2 linked regions of the Anolis sagrei genome follow. The protein of the gene in region 2 interacts with the protein of the main gene of each other region in a pairwise test. Links are inferred from orthologs where the notes say so. Each region holds a gene or a part of one and is shown on either strand. Other genes may lie near its edges.

Region 1 (8,201 bases), on a different chromosome or scaffold from region 2:
CTACAGACATGACAAACAAGGAAAGGGTATGGTGGCATGTCCAGCAGAAACTGCCTCTTCTTCTCTCCCTTCATGGCCAGGATAGTGGCAGCCAGGATGAAAGTAGGACCTTCCATCTTCTTCTGGGCTATAGCATGATGGGCCTGCCTCTCCCTTCCTTTCTTTGAGACCGGGCAGTGGCAGTTGGATAGAGGTACGGCTTATCAACTGCTTCTGGGAATAGCTGTGATGGAACTATAGATGTCTCTCCATTCATGGCTATGGCAGTGGCAGCTGGGATGGAGGGAGGACCTTTCTTCTGCTTCTGCCTCTCCCTTTCTCTCTCTGAGGCCTCAGCAGAAGTTGGGATGGAAGAAGGACTTTTCATCTCTTTTTGGGCCAAAATACGATGGGATTGTGCTTGGCTCTTCTTATCTCCCTTGAGGCCAAGGCAGGAGAGTTGAGATAGAGGGAGAGACCATTCATCTCCTTTTGGGATAAGGCATGATGAAGATGTGCCTGTGGATTATCTTGGATCAGCGACTGCATATGAGCCTAGCCTCTTCCATAAAGATGAAAAAAATGTCAAGGAACCCTTTCTTAAGGTGCTTAGAGAGAAAAGGGCAGAATAAACAAGTAATAAATAAACCAAACTATTGCTGGATCTTTGCGCAGCAATTTAATATCAAGCCACAAATGACAGAACCTACAATAATATTATTAATAGAAAAATACTGAGGTTGCACACCATTCAACATTTCTCAGATGAAAATGGGATTTATGTGGCTGAATAACTTCAGATTGTGTCAAGCTAGTGAAAGGTAAGAAAAAGGAAGAACACACAAGCTAGGATCAACCTGTAATAGTTTGCCTTCCCTGAGTCTTCAGGGAAGGGCAGGATTCTGCCCACATCTCTCTTCTCCACCTGCTGAGTGAACTGAGAGTAAACTACTTTTCAATGTTGTATTCGGTTTGTAGCAAATGAAGAAAGTTGAAGGAAGGGAGAAGTAGAAAGAAACTGGGACGTTTTAAAAGATTCTGAAAAAATGAGATGACACAGGATTAATTTTAACTGTCCTTGCTAAATGGGGACAGTCGAGGGATATGAGACTGATTCGCATAAAAAAAACTTTTTTAGTGCATGTACAATGTAGAAATGGTGTGAATCTCAGTGTCTGTTTCACTGAGTATAAAACTTGTGGAAACCACATTTGGTTCCTATTTTTGCCACAGTTTGTGTAATGCCCTCTCACTTGGAGGACAGAGGACTGCTGGTGTTGACTTAAAAAATAAAACATTATTAAATGTATCTTTTCCAACATGTACATGTGCCCAATTTTAAACTGCTTTAATTTTTTAAACTGTTTTAAGTTGTTAAATTGTTTAACATGCTTCATGTTAATTTAAATTACCTTTTTGTTTTAAGTTCTGCACTGTTTCAAATGGCTTACATGGTTTTTCCTTGCACGCCAGCCTGAGGTTCAGTGATACAAGGCCAGATAAAATAGTTCAATAACACAAATAAAGAAGTACACGCACCTCTCTGATTTGTCCTTCTGGAATTATGGTGACCAGCCCTATATCAAAATAGAATAGATGAGTCATTGCAGTCTAATCCTACCAAAAATGGGATAAGCTTTGAGCCATGACATATATTTATTATCCACTACTACTTTGACATCTTTTTTTCAGATGCTGCCAAACTAATTATGGTTTGTTGTGTACTTATGCATCTTGTTATTTTTAAGTATAACACAAATCATCATTGATAAATTAAACCATGTAGCTATCGGTTCAGTGCTCCAGTTTAATGATATCATTCTGGGTTATACTTCAAATAACTCTTCCATAATGAAAAATGACCAGCTTCAAGTACAAATTGGCACTGCTCCACAAAGCAACCCTTTAATTCTTAGATCCCTACCATTTATAAAAGTTAAAGGTTTCCCCTGGCATTAAGTCTAATCACATTCGACTCGGGAGTTGGTGCTCATCTCCATTTCTAAGCCAAAGAGCTGGCATTGTCCGTAGACACCTCCAAGGTCATGTGGCCAGCATGACTGCAGGGAACACCATTATATGCCGGCAAGAGAAAGCTTAAACATAGGATTCACCAGGTCCATACATAAACTGTGAACTCATAGGCCCTGTCCACACTGCCATATAATTCAGTTTGAATTGCATTATATGGCAGTGAAGACAGCCATATTACACAGTTCAATTGCATTATATAGCAGTGTTGATGTGGCCATTGCTATCTCATAGCAGCAAAGACTAGTTAAACATTCAGGAAAAGCAATGAGTAACAAAGTACTTAAAATGCATTCTGAAATCAAACATAATCTCCAACATGTCACAGATGCAAACTGGGACAGATATGATCCAGAATATGTGGTCTAGATAGCAAAAGTTAATGAATAAATACAAATGAGCTAGGATAGGTTGCAGCAGTTTACTTTTGCCATTGCTCTTTCTGAGCTGGTCGCAAACTGCTTTTGGACTTTGCACTCCGTTTGTGGCCATTGAAGTAAGCTGAGGACAAAGGAGGGGAGTGGTTGTCTTGCTTGCATGCTGCAAGTTGCCTCTAGTCGCTTCTGGGGTGAGAGAATCAGCCGTCTACGAAGACGTTGCCCAGGGGACGCCCGGATGTCTTGCAATCCTGCGAGGAGGCTTCTCTCATGTCCCCCAGAAGGGGAGTGAAAGGAGGTGAGAAAAACTGGGACACTTTTAAAACAGCTGAAAACATATAAGGACAGAGGACTACATGGGACTCTCCTTGCCAAAGTGGAACAGTTGGAGAGCATAAACTAAAGCTGAAATGGATTACATCACTAAACACTGATATGTATCCTTTCTAGCAAAAAAAATCATCATATTATCTGTTGTCGAAGGCTTTCGTGGCCAGAATCATCGGGTTGCTGTGAGTTTTCTGGGCTATATGGCCATATTCCAGAAACATTGTCTCTTGACGTTTCACCCACATCTATGGCAGGCATCCTCTGAGGTTGTGAGGTCTGTTGGAAACTAGGCAAGTGAGATTTATATATTTGTGGAATGTCCAGGGTGGGAGAAAGAACTCTTGTCTGGGTTGATGTAGTTTTTTCCGGGCTATATGGCCATGTTCTAGTGGCATTTTCTCCTGACGTTTCGCCTGCATCTATGGCAAGCATCCTCAGAGGTAGTGAGGTCTGTTGGAATTAGGACAATGGGTTTATATATCTGTGGAATGACCAGGGTGGGACGAAGGACTTTTGTCTGCTGGAGTTAGGTTTGAATGTTTCAACTGACCACCTTGATTAGCATTTAATGGCTTGGAAGTGCCTGGGGGGATCTTTTGTTGAGTGGTGATTTGATGTGCCTGATTGTTTACTCTCTGTTGTTTTGCTGTTGTAATTTTAGAGTTTTTTAATACTGGTAGCCAGATTTTGTTCATTTTCATGGTTTCTTCCTTTCTGTTGAAATTGTCCACATGCTTGTGTATTTCAATGGCTTCTCTGTGTAGTCTGACATGGTGGTTGTGAGGGTGGTCCAGCACTTCTGTGTTCTCAAATAATATGCTGTGTCCAGGTTGGTTCATCAGGTGCTCTGCTATGGCTGACTTCTCTGGTTGGAGTAGTCTGCAGTGCCTTTCATGTTCCTTGATTCGTGTTTGGGCAGTGCTGCGTTTGGTGGTCCCTATGTAGACTTGTCCACAGCTGCATGGAATACGGTAGACTCCTGCAGAGGTGAGAGGATCCCTCTTGTCCTTTGCTGAACGTAGCATTTGTTGGATGTTCTTGGTGGGTCTGTAGGTGGTTTGTATGTTGTGTTTCCTCATCAGCTTCCCTATGCGGTCAGTGGTTCCCTTGATGTATAGCAAGAACACTTTTCTTCTGGGTGGATCTTCATCTTTACTCTTGTAGCTGATGGGAAGCTGATGAGGAAACACAACATACAAACCACCTACAGACCAAGAAAACCCAAAATCTGGCTACCAGTATTAAAAAACTGATTCTGGCCATGAAAGCCTTCGACAATACACTGAACTCTTGTCTGTTGGAGGCCGATGTGAATGTTGCAGTTGGCCAACTTGATTAACCTTGAATAGCCTTGCAGCTCCAAAACCTGCTGTCAAGCCAGGCATCCCCCATTCTGTATCTTCTATCTATCTATCTATCTATCTATCTATCTATGTATTGCTGATTAGATATCTTGGTATAAGCAAGACTTGACTCTGAAGAAGCTGGGGGTGGCGACGGCCAACAGGGAGCTCTGGCGTGGGCTGGTCCATGAGTTCATGAAGAGTTGGAAGCAACTAAACGATTAAACATCTTGCTATAACCAAGACTTGACTTGACTCTGAAGGAGCTGAGGGTGGCGACGGCCAACAGGGAGCTCTGGCGTGGGCTGGTCCATGAGTTCATGAAGAGTTGGAAGCAACTGAACGATTAAACATCTTGCTATAACCAAGACTTGACTCTGAAGGAGCTGGGGGTGGCGACGGCCAACAGGGAGCTCTGGCGTGGGCTGGTCCATGAGTTCATGAAGAGTTGGAAGCAACTGAACGATTAAACATATTGCTATAACCAAGACTTGACTCTGAAGGAGCTGGGGGTGGCGACGGCCATCAGGGAGCTCTGGCGTGGGCTGGTCCATGAGGTCATGAAGAGTCAGAAGCAACTGAACGATTAAACATCTTGCTATAAGCAAGACTTGACTTGACTCTGAAGGAGCTGGGGGTGGCGACGGCCAACAGGGAGCTCTGGCGTGGGCTGGTCCATGAGTTCATGAAGAGTTGGAAGCCACTGAACGAATAAACAACAACGAAAGGACAATCCTCGTTGGCATACACTGTGTTTCCAATTCCCAACCCCCAAACCAACCCTTTCTATAGTATTTTCTGGCATCTACAAATTGAAGAAGGGAGTTAAGAGTCCATTAAAGTTTTCACAACTCAGTAGAGGCAATCCTATTGTAGACTTCTCCAAGGACAAATCCCACTGAACTCAAAGCAGAGCTGAGTACATGTGAAACTCCCTACAACCAGCAAGCAACGGGCTGGCAACGAGTGGGGAATACGTTCCCTTTCTGAGCATAGGGAGGACCCGTAGGAAAGTGACGTCAAGCGAGGGCGGAAGTGGGCGTCATGCGGGAAGCTTTGCGGGCGGAAAGGGAGACGAGGTGTGGGCGGAAGTGCCGTTTCCTGGAGAGCGCCGTCGCCTTGGTTGCAAGGGGGGTTCGAGGTGCCGCCTCATTCCAGGTGAGAAGCAGGCGGGGATTCTTCCCTCTCTGACTTGGTTGCCTTCTTCCTTCCCAAAGGGAGAGCCGAGGCTTTCTTCTCCCTCAGAGCTTTGAGAAGAGGTGCATCTACACTGTAGAATGAATGCAGTTTGACACCACTTGAACTCCCATGGCTGAATGCTGTGGGGTCATGGGAATTGGAGTTTGGTGAGGCGCCAGCCCTCTTAGAGAAAGCAAAAGGCCTTGTAAAACTATTGCCACTTTTAACTGCTATGGCTCAAAGCTGTAGAGTTATGGGAGTTGTAGTTTTACAAGGTTTTTGGCCTTCTTTGGCAGAGAGTGCTGGTGCAGCACCAAACTTCAACTCCCCAAATTAACATGGCAGTTCAAGTGGTGTCAAACTGCATTAATATAGAGTGTAGATCAGTCATGAGCCAACTTGGGCCCTTTAGGTGTTTTGGACTTCAACTCCCACCATTCCTAACAGTCTCAGGCCTTTTCCTTTCCCCCCTCAGCCGCTTAAGGAAGAGGCCTGAGGCTGTTAGGAATGGCCACTTGGGAGTGCCTCTGGTGTTGCTGCAAAAAGGTCCTCCATAATGCATGTGACACTGGGCATGCATACTCAGCAGCAGAGTAGCATAGCGCAAGGGCAGATGTCTTCACTGTATCTGGTTGTGATCCCCAAGTTGTGCCAGTCAGCTTTCGTATGATATTATTTCAAGCACCCACTTTTTGCTTGATACTCAGGCAGTGCTTCTTGTAGGTCAGGGCATGGTCCAGAGTGACTCCCAGGTATTTGGGTGTGCTGCAATGCTCCAGTGGGATTCCTTCCCAGGTAATCCTCAGAGCTTGGGATGCTTGTCTGCTATTGAGGTGAAAAGCACATGTCTGTGTTTTAGATGGATTAGGGATCAGCTGGTTTTCCCTGTAATAGGCAGTAAGAGCACCTAGAGCTTCTGAGAGCCTTTGTTCAACCATTTCAAAGCTCCCTGCTTGAGCGGTAATGACACGATCATCTGCATAGATGAAACTCTCTGTCTCTTCTGGCAGTGGCTGGTCATTTGTGTAAATGATGAAGATTGATGGAGCAAGCACGCTCTATTGTTTCTAGTGATTTAATGTTATGTTTTATTTGGTTTGTATAATGAGACATTGAATTTTTGCTTAGATGCATGTTGTTAGTCACCTGCAGGTTGAGAAGGGCAGGATAGAAATGAATAATTTGTTTATTGCAGTGCTGACACATTAGCTATCAATTGGGGGGGGGGGGTGGCTGTAGATCTAATTTGTTATTCTGTATTGTTCTCACACCATGGTTGGGTTTGTGTGTTCATTCCTCTCCTTAGACAGGAAGCATTTCCTTCCATTGTCAGCTAACAGCAGTTTTGCATTGCGTCTTAACTTGACAAACTGCTTAGTTGTAATATCAACTTTACAAAACAAGCCAGAATTGGATTTCAGTTTCTGATGCTGTTGGTGTGTGTTAGTAAACTGTTGTTTTGATTCATTTGGAACGAGCCTGTAGTCATTTCGAATACTAACTGTGATTGGTTAAAAGGAGAATGCATGTTTCTGATCTTTTTGTGTCTATACTGGATTATGCAGGGAGATTTTAGTTTCACACCATCTGAGGATGCCTTCCATAGATGTGGGCAAAACACCAGAAGATAATGCTTCTGGAACATAGCCATACAGTCCAGAAAACTTGCAGCAACTCAAATTTTAGTTTGTTACATCCGAGCACTTCCAGAGAAGCTGTTTTGTAAAAAAAAAATAAAAAAAAAATACAGAACCCATGATAGGAAAGAAAGCTTGTGCAATAATAAGCCAATCAATTAATCATGAGTCATTAGTCCCGAGTTCAACTGAAAACATATCTCTTCATATAGGATCTGAGCATATTGTAAGCTACGCCTCTTAAAGTCTGTGAGCCACATATTCTGTGAGAGAGAGGAGGTCCATGGACTGGTGCCAGTCTATATCCTATCCACTGCTGGTTCACAGTTAATTTCCAAGAAAGAAAGGAGGAGGCGTTGTCATGTGGTGCCATGTGATGCTAGTCCCACACATTAAGCAATACAGAGAGCACTGCTATAGGATACTAGCACATTCCCTTATTTCAGAGGAATCCTAACACGAAGCCCTTAATGTAGATGCAAATTAACTCTATCAAATCTTTCTGTATCAGCTATTTTAAATACAAGGCACCTCACAATTACCCCTTAGTTAGTTGGGAATGCACGTCATGCAACTCTGTGTCAGGATTGTACTGTCCTTCTCTAATGGCTTATGTACTTGATTAATCCTTCTAAATGTATCCAATTGGAGTGGTTTGGAACCACTCCCAGCTGGTGCTGTTTACACCTTTGGCTCTGCCTTTCATCTGTGGTCACTATGTTGAATGTGTAAATTAGTTTCCTCTACAGTGGATAGGAAGTGCAAAAAATCATACACGTTTTATATTCTATTTTTTAAAAATTTTTTGTTAATATAGACGTATGTTGGTAGTACGCATCTGCATGAAATGTCTGCCTATTTTATGGTGACACTGAGGGACAGTGGCTTTTAAAAGTTGTAACATTGCTGTATTGCTGTGGGAAAGGAAAAGAAACACCCAGAAATTAACAGAAATAGCCTCATAGAGTAACCCAGTTGGGAATGTATTTGAATGATCTTTTGATTTGGAACCACTGTTTGCAAGGCACTGATTTTAAGGTCTTCTACAACTGAAGACCAGTTGCGCAGTGGGTTAAACCACTGAGCTGCTGAACTTGCTGACTGGTAAGATTGGCAGTTCGAATCTGGGGAGCGGGGTAAGCTCCTGCTGTTAAGCCCAGCTTCTGCCGACCTAGCAGTTCAGAAACATGCAAATGTGAGTAGATCAATAGGTACCACTTTGACGTGAAGGTAATGGCACTCCATGCAGTCATGCTAGCCACATGACCTTAGAGATGTCTATGGACAATGCTGGCTATTCGGCTTAGAAATGGAGATGAGCACCA
Region 2 (7,212 bases):
TAGAATATGTAGTAATTACTCCTAGGAAATACCCAAATGGAGAATTTCATTTCACTAGAAGGAAGCCAACATATGTAGCTTCTCTCTCGGTTTAACCCAAAATTTTATTCATTTTATTCTGCTTTATTCTGCTTCATTTTTATTCTGCTTTCTCTCAAAATAGAGATTCAAGGAGAGATTAACCCCCACCCCCACCTTAGAGAACTATGCCGGTCTTCAACAAACTTGAATTGTGCCTAATTCCCTTAACAAGAATAGAACAAAATAATTGTGACTAAATTTACCTAAAGTGATAGGTCTCATGTCAATTTCAACATGCTTTCTGCATCAATTTCAAAATAGCACAGTCAACATTAATTTGAGCCATGTCAGGTCCATAAATCTTTAACATTAGTTTGTAAATAGAAACCTGCCATGAAAGCAGAAAGCAGTACATGACTCTGCATTTATTTCTATTTCTGCCACCATTCCAGCCATAAGAAAAAGACAATCTTTAACACACTCCACAGTGCTAAGAATTGAAGAGAAAGGAGTGGTGTTGGGATATAATTCTACCCATCCAATAATTTCCAGATGCGATTAAACTAAGTGCTCAAAGTGCTAGGTTGTCCTGACTATTGCAACCACTTGCAAGTTTAGTCCCTATATTCTCTGCTACGTTTTTCAGTACATACTGCCTTTCTTCGGCAGGCAAGCCACACCCTCACTTCTGTATGTGAACAAACCATTTGGGATAAAGCCAAGCTACAGAGGGAGTTTGTACATAACTTGTCCTCCCTCATCTACTAAATGATAAAAGGGCGGGGTTCTTTAGTGTTAGGAAGGCAAGAAAAACAGGTATTATCCTGCTGTGAAAAACAGCAATAGATCTTTAGAAAACATAAGAAAGCAAAACAGGAAAAATGACTGGAGTAATGCTGAGCATTGGGATGAGTGAACCACACAAAGCCACGGCCATCATAAATAACTGCCTACAAAAATAATATCCTGTCTCAGGAAGCTGGGCTAGATGACTCAATACTTTGCTTCCATGTTGCTTCTAAATTCAAGGACACTATTTGGAAAACGTTTCCACTCATGACGCCTTTTGACCTAAGAATTTTTTGTGGGTACACAAATATATAGAATAGGCATCAATAGATGTGAGAAGAAATCAGCACTTGTGAGGCTTGCTAAACAGGCTGATTTTCCTTTTTATGAACTATACCTGAAGCATCTTCTGTAGAATTACTGTGAACACTGCACAACAGATTTGTGCAAATGTCAAAACACCCACTAGCTGACATTCAGAAAACGTTTACTGCTGACAAATGTTTCTGGACTCCAACATTGAGCAAAGGGAACCCCGCTTGAGGTTGGGACCCAAAGTTTTATGAAGCTGTGATCTAGAGGATATGTAATTAAGGGTAACACAGTTTTTTTTCCATCTCATCACTTTGGGCCCTTACCTTTACACACTCAGCAGCAGTAGATAAGCTCTCCTTACTGTCAAACACCTGCTTGCTAAACGCATCCACAAACATCCTCATTGCTGATCGAGCCCAGACAACAAAAGCCGAATAGCACCCACTGTTGCCAGCAAAGTCCGTCTCAAACTCCTTTGCGGTCTCTAGCAGGCTGGTGAAGAAGACATGGCACAGCTTGTGAATGTACAGCAGAGTGGCACCTTCAATGCGCAACTGTCGGATGGCTGTGTGAACGGCCGCTTCCCTGTTCCGCAGGAAAAGTTCGCACGCCTTGGTTGACTGGCCCAACCGGATGAGCTGAGAAACAGCACGACGGGTTGCTCTGGGCCCACCTCGAAGTGACCTATCTGGAGAAAGCTCAAACACAAGCACGTCGGTGAGCTGCCTGATTCTCTCATCCACTTTTGCTCGTAACTCCCTGACTGGTTGTGTCAAGGGCTTATCCCCTAGATACTCATTCAGCTTATCCAGCAAGTCAACCGCCCCTTCGAAGTCTCTCTGAGCGATGCAGACATCCAAGTCTTCAGGCAACTCCTGAATCCACTCCAGGGAGAGATCCACCACTTCTTCCTCTGGGGTCCCCCCTTCCCCACTTTCCTCCTCATCCTCATCGAAGGGGTTGGTAGCCTCTGGAGGGGCTGGGGGAGGCGCACGGGCTGCCGGCACCTCCTGTTCCAGCCTCCGCTTCTCGCTCAGCACGCGGCTCCTCTTGGTCTCCTCCAGCACCTCCAGCCACTCTTTCTTGATCTTAGCGTTCTCGGCCTGGAAGATGCGGCTCTCGGGGAACATGAGCAGCTTGAACATGTCCTTCATGGGCGGGTTATCCTTGACATTGACGACGGCCAGGCCGTCCAGTGGGTAGAGGGCGTCGTAACGGTAAGTGCCCCGGCGGTTGGGCAGCCAGGCCGCCACCAGCAGGCAGTCGTTCATCAGGAAGGCGTGCACCTTCTGAATCTGGACCATGTGGTCGGCGTCGTACTCCACCAGGTCCCCGTTGTATACCAGGTACTTGCCGGGGCTCTCCGGAAGCAGGTCGCGGCAGCCCTCCACCTTCTCCAGGAGGGTGGTCAGGGTGCGCTGGCGGCCCTCCTCGCTGGCTGCCGCCTCCTTGGCGGAGAGGGGCAGGAAGGGGTTGGCGTGCGGGTCCGAGGAGGCAGCCCCGGCGGCTCTGTCGTCGCGGTCGGCCTGGAGGAGCAGCAACGCCTGGGTGACGGCCTCCAGGATGCCCTTCTGCTCGGTGAGGATGTGGCTGAGCTGGTACATCTCGCTCTCCAGGTAGCTGATCTCGCGCGCCGTCTCGATGAACTGCCGGTAGTTCTGGTAGACGTTGCGCTTCAGGCTCTGCGCCGTCTCCTCGCTCAGGGCCTGGATGCGCTGGCGGTGCTCCTGCAAGTCCCGGTCGCCGTCCGACTGCTGCGAGAGCTGCTTCACGTACTCCTCGGCCGCGTAGCTCCCGGACTCCAGCTGCCGCCTCAAGCGGCTCCCTCCCGCTCCTCCTCCGCCGCCGCCGCCCGGAGCCACCTCACCCAGAGACAGCGCCATGGCCGAGCCGGAGCCGCCAGAGACCAGCCTTCGCCGAGGAGGGAGAGGAAGCAAGGCGTCGCTGCGCCGGAAGCAGGGGCCGCCTCTGACCGGAAGGCCGCTTACGTGCGCCGCTGCGTAAAAAACGTCAAGGCGCCGCGCCGCAGTGACGCGAGGCGCGCGACTCTCTCCGAGGCAGGAAGACAACAAACCCTCGGCTTTACGGCGCATGCGCCGGGATTTGAAGGCGGAGGGCTCAACGAAAGGCTGTGCTCCAATGGACGGCGACTTCTTGCTGGCGCTGCGGCTCCAAGAGGAGTGGAACGCGGAGGAGGGCGGCCGCGCACGGGCCTCCCTCAAGGCCGGCCCAGCCTTCACCTCGCCGGCACGGCCGCTGTCGCTGGTGGACGAGAGCTGGGAGCTGCTGGATCCCAGCCCGGACGTGCGAGGCCTCTTCCTGCAGTTCAACCAGAGCCTCTTTTGGGGGGCCCTGGAGGCCGTGGAGGTGAAGTGGAGCCCCCGCATGACGCTGTACGGTTTCATGGGACACGTTGTGCCCCACACATTTTCTTATTCGGATTTATGGCTGTGTCCTTACCTCTTTTAAGGGGTTGGCTTAGCCCAGGCGTGGGGAAACTTTCAATAGAATCATAGAGTTGGAAGAGACCTCGTGGGCCATCCAGTCCAACCACCTCCCCAAGGCATAGTTCAGTAGTCAGAACTACCCTTGGCTCTCAAGTCTGGACTAAAATGTTCCTTTTCAGATTAAACCACAATCCCAGAATTCTCATACTAGCTGGATGTTGTAGGTTTTTTCGGGCTATATGTTCTAGAGGCATTTCTCCTGACGTTTCGCCTGCATCGATGGCAAGCATCCTCAGAGGTAGTGAGGTCTGTTGGAACTAGGAAAAAGGGTTTATATATCTGTGGAATGACCAGGGTGAGACAAAGGACTCTTGTCTGCTGGAGCTAGGTGTGAATGTTTCAGCTGACCACCTTGATTAGCATTTGATTGCCTGGCAGTGCCTGGAGCAATCTTTTATGGAAGGAATGATCTAGCTACATGCAGGAAATGTCCAAGTAAGAACATGCAGCCATTGGCAATTACTGTCAGTGATACATGCATCTTAAGCCCTAGAAGAGTCATCTTTCTTGGGAGCAGAGGAATCTCAGAAGTAAGGAAACCTTTGTGAATAAAAGACCTCAGGAGTGGGTAGCCGAATTCAGATAGGCCTGGAAACCAGGCTGTTTAATATCCTAGGTGATTTCTGTTGCTGGAATAAGTTTTACATGGAGTCTATCTCCTTAAAGTTACTTTTTAGTATTGACTTATGGATCCAAGTTAACACCTAACTCTTATATCATGCCTACCTTTTGCTCCCCAATGTCTGAACCTGACATTACTCTAACAACACTTATTAGATTGTATCCACTTTCACACTAATATTTGGCTACAGCTTCCCCTTGTTGATCAATAAACGTGTTGAAAAAAATAGGCACTAATCACAATCTTAAATTTTCTAACAAATTACTGTAAAAGAGAAAAGTCCTGATTATTTACCCCCAAGGAGAACAATCGTCCAACCTTCTATTTCAAACAAGGTAAGAACCCTAATGCATTATGAATACAGAACAGCCAAGTTGCAGTTGAAAGCAAATGTTTGTTGTTTGTGATTTATTATTTTCTAGATGTGCAGGAGTTTGCTGCTATGAAGGCCGTGGTGGAATGTGCTCCATTCGACTTAGTGAGCCCCTTCTAAAGCTGCGACCGAGAAAGGATCTTGTAGAGGTACTGTTGATGGTTGTCTTTGTAGAGAAACATCAAACAAACTGTAGTAAATTTATTGTAGCTAGCATGCCTGAACATTCAAATATGTCCAGAAGGCCCTTGAATGAATAGTTATCTAGCTCCTCACATGAGCATTTATGTTTGATGTCCTATTTGATATGAGTTTGTTCGGCCTCAACATAAGAACAAACAGATCATTTATCTTTGTTCCTTGAGGGTCGTTCCCAAAAGGTGTTGATGGGGGACAACTGCTTTACTTCACAACCATTGACTTGTGGGGTCCCCTAGGGATCAGTATTCCCCCCTATGTTGTTTAACATTTACATGAAGCCACTGGGAGAGATCATCTGGAGTTTTGGGGTCAGATGTCATCTGTATGGAGTTGTTGTTCAGCTCTCTCACTCCTTCCCACCAGTTACTAAGAAGGCTGTGATTCTATGAAATTTGCCCTCCCTCTGCTAGATAACGTGACTGCATTTGTGACTGAAAAGTGTATTTTGCTTTTAATGTTTTTGGTGTTCTTAGATGTTTAGAGGCATAGCTGTACTCAAGGTAGTACTCTGTATTTTGTAAGTGATTTTTGATCCTCTAGAACAGTGATTTCCAACCTTTGGTCCTCCAGGTGTTTTGGACTTCAACTTCCAGAAATCTTAGCCAGCTTACCAGCTGTTTGGAATTATAAGAACTGAAGTCTGAAGCACCTGTCAGACTAAAAGTTGGGAACCATTGCTCTAAAATGAGAGGATCCAGTGATTTGAGCAGCTGTCAAAAAGTAAGGTGGGTGTGATGCATGTAGCATATTGAAAATATTTTAACTTTGATTTCAAAGAAATATGCTTCTCAGATCTTTTACCTTTGAAACTTACAGAAGGAGAAGCATTACAAAATGAAATGCTCACGGTGGAATTTTTTTGTTTTGATGTAATTTGTTGTATTCAAAAACAACAAAAATATTAACAATAAGCCCTCATGTCATCAGTTGGGGACCCCTCCTCCCAGCACCAACTGCTGCTCTGGGCCAGAGTGAAGGGGGGGGGGGGACAGTTCCATCTTGTCTCCTGCATTTGTCATCAGTTAGGGACCACTCCCCCAGCACCAATTGCTGCTCTGGGCCAGAGTGAAGAGAGAGGGGGCCAGAAGACAGTTTTACCTTGTTTCCTGTGCTATGCTAATAATATAATATAATGTAGTGTACTATATTGTATATACATATAATATTTATAATATTATAATGTAATACAATATAATAATACTACTAACAATATGATATAATTATATATTTTATATTACATGTGATGTTACTAGTAATATTACAATATAATGGTATAGTACAATATAGTAATATATAATACTGATATTGTACTATGCTAATAATATATTGTATATATATATATATGTCTTGTAAGCCACTCTAAGTCCCCTTCGGGGTGAGAAGGGTGGCATATAAATGTCTTAAATAAATAAATAAATAAATTCCCTCACATTTTAGCTTCAGGAAAATCATAGAATAACATTTCTGATCTGACAAAAATTAAGAAGCCCTTTAAAGTAATACAATCCCAGTGTGTAGAAAAAGTCTAAAGAGAGGAAGTATCTCTCACCCAACTGTAGTAGATCACACAGTTGTCACAGTCAGACATGTGTTCACTCTTGCCCACCTCATTTATGGACTTGTGTGTCAGGTCAAACAAATTCTCAGGTCAGACTAACAAATCTGACTTCTTATAAAGCTGGGAGTGATTTTGAGCTCCTGCCTCCTTCTTTGTTCCTCTCCTCGTTTGCCAGCTGTAGCATTTTGATTTTAGTTAAAGGCCATATTGATTACAACGAACAATGCCAGAGAATGAGAAAAATGGAAGGAAACATTTTAAGTGTTTATTTTAAACTGGTGCAGCCCATCTCTGTTTTAAGCCAATTGTAGATAACTATTTCTTATTGCTTAAGAAATAAACATTTCAACTAATCCAATGATTTTTTAAAAATTTCAGACTCTTTTACATGAAATGATTCATGCTCTGTTGTTTGTCACTTATAATGACAAAGATCACGATTCTCATGGCCCGGAGTTCTGCAAACACATGGATCGGATAAATCGCTTAACTGGCACAAATATTACGGTAAACATTATTTGTAAGGCACTTCTCAATGCTTGAAGTACAACAGATTAGTTCCCAAACTAAGGTCCGCAGGCTGGATGCAGCCCTCCAATGTAATTTACCTGGACCCCGCCCTAAACTTTAGATTTAGGATCATCCTAATTCTGAAGTGACTTGAAGGCACAGAACAACACTATACTGTTTATATTAACACTATACAGTTTGTCATTTAACTGTATGAAGCTTACTATTAGATTGCAACTTTTAAGTATTATGACCAGAATGAATACACAAATGATATATATTTTGGACCAATTCTCCCATGGAACCATTAATTTGA

Evidence for each region. The genes of interacting proteins can lie anywhere in the genome.
Region 1: the proteins of EXOC8 (region 2) and WASHC1 interact in binary tests that used the Homo sapiens proteins (3 or more experiments, as listed by UniProt). The link is inferred for Anolis sagrei from reciprocal best matches to the Homo sapiens genes EXOC8 and WASHC1.

Annotation. Positions count from the first base shown.
Region 1 is NC_090025.1:177,533,645-177,541,845, reverse strand, and holds the start of WASHC1 (WASH complex subunit 1), read left to right. Parts: upstream 1-5,102; 5' UTR 5,103-5,218; intron 5,219-8,201. UniProt on the Homo sapiens protein: Acts as a component of the WASH core complex that functions as a nucleation-promoting factor (NPF) at the surface of endosomes, where it recruits and activates the Arp2/3 complex to induce actin polymerization, playing a key role in the fission of tubules that serve as transport intermediates during endosome sorting.
Region 2 is NC_090021.1:60,851,496-60,858,707, reverse strand, and holds the start of EXOC8 (exocyst complex component 8), read right to left. Parts: upstream 3,107-7,212; 5' UTR 3,009-3,106; coding exon 1,449-3,008; intron 1-1,448. Other genes in the region: DNA-dependent metalloprotease SPRTN, read left to right, coding at 3,217-3,518, 4,677-4,776, 6,765-6,893. UniProt on the Homo sapiens protein: Component of the exocyst complex involved in the docking of exocytic vesicles with fusion sites on the plasma membrane.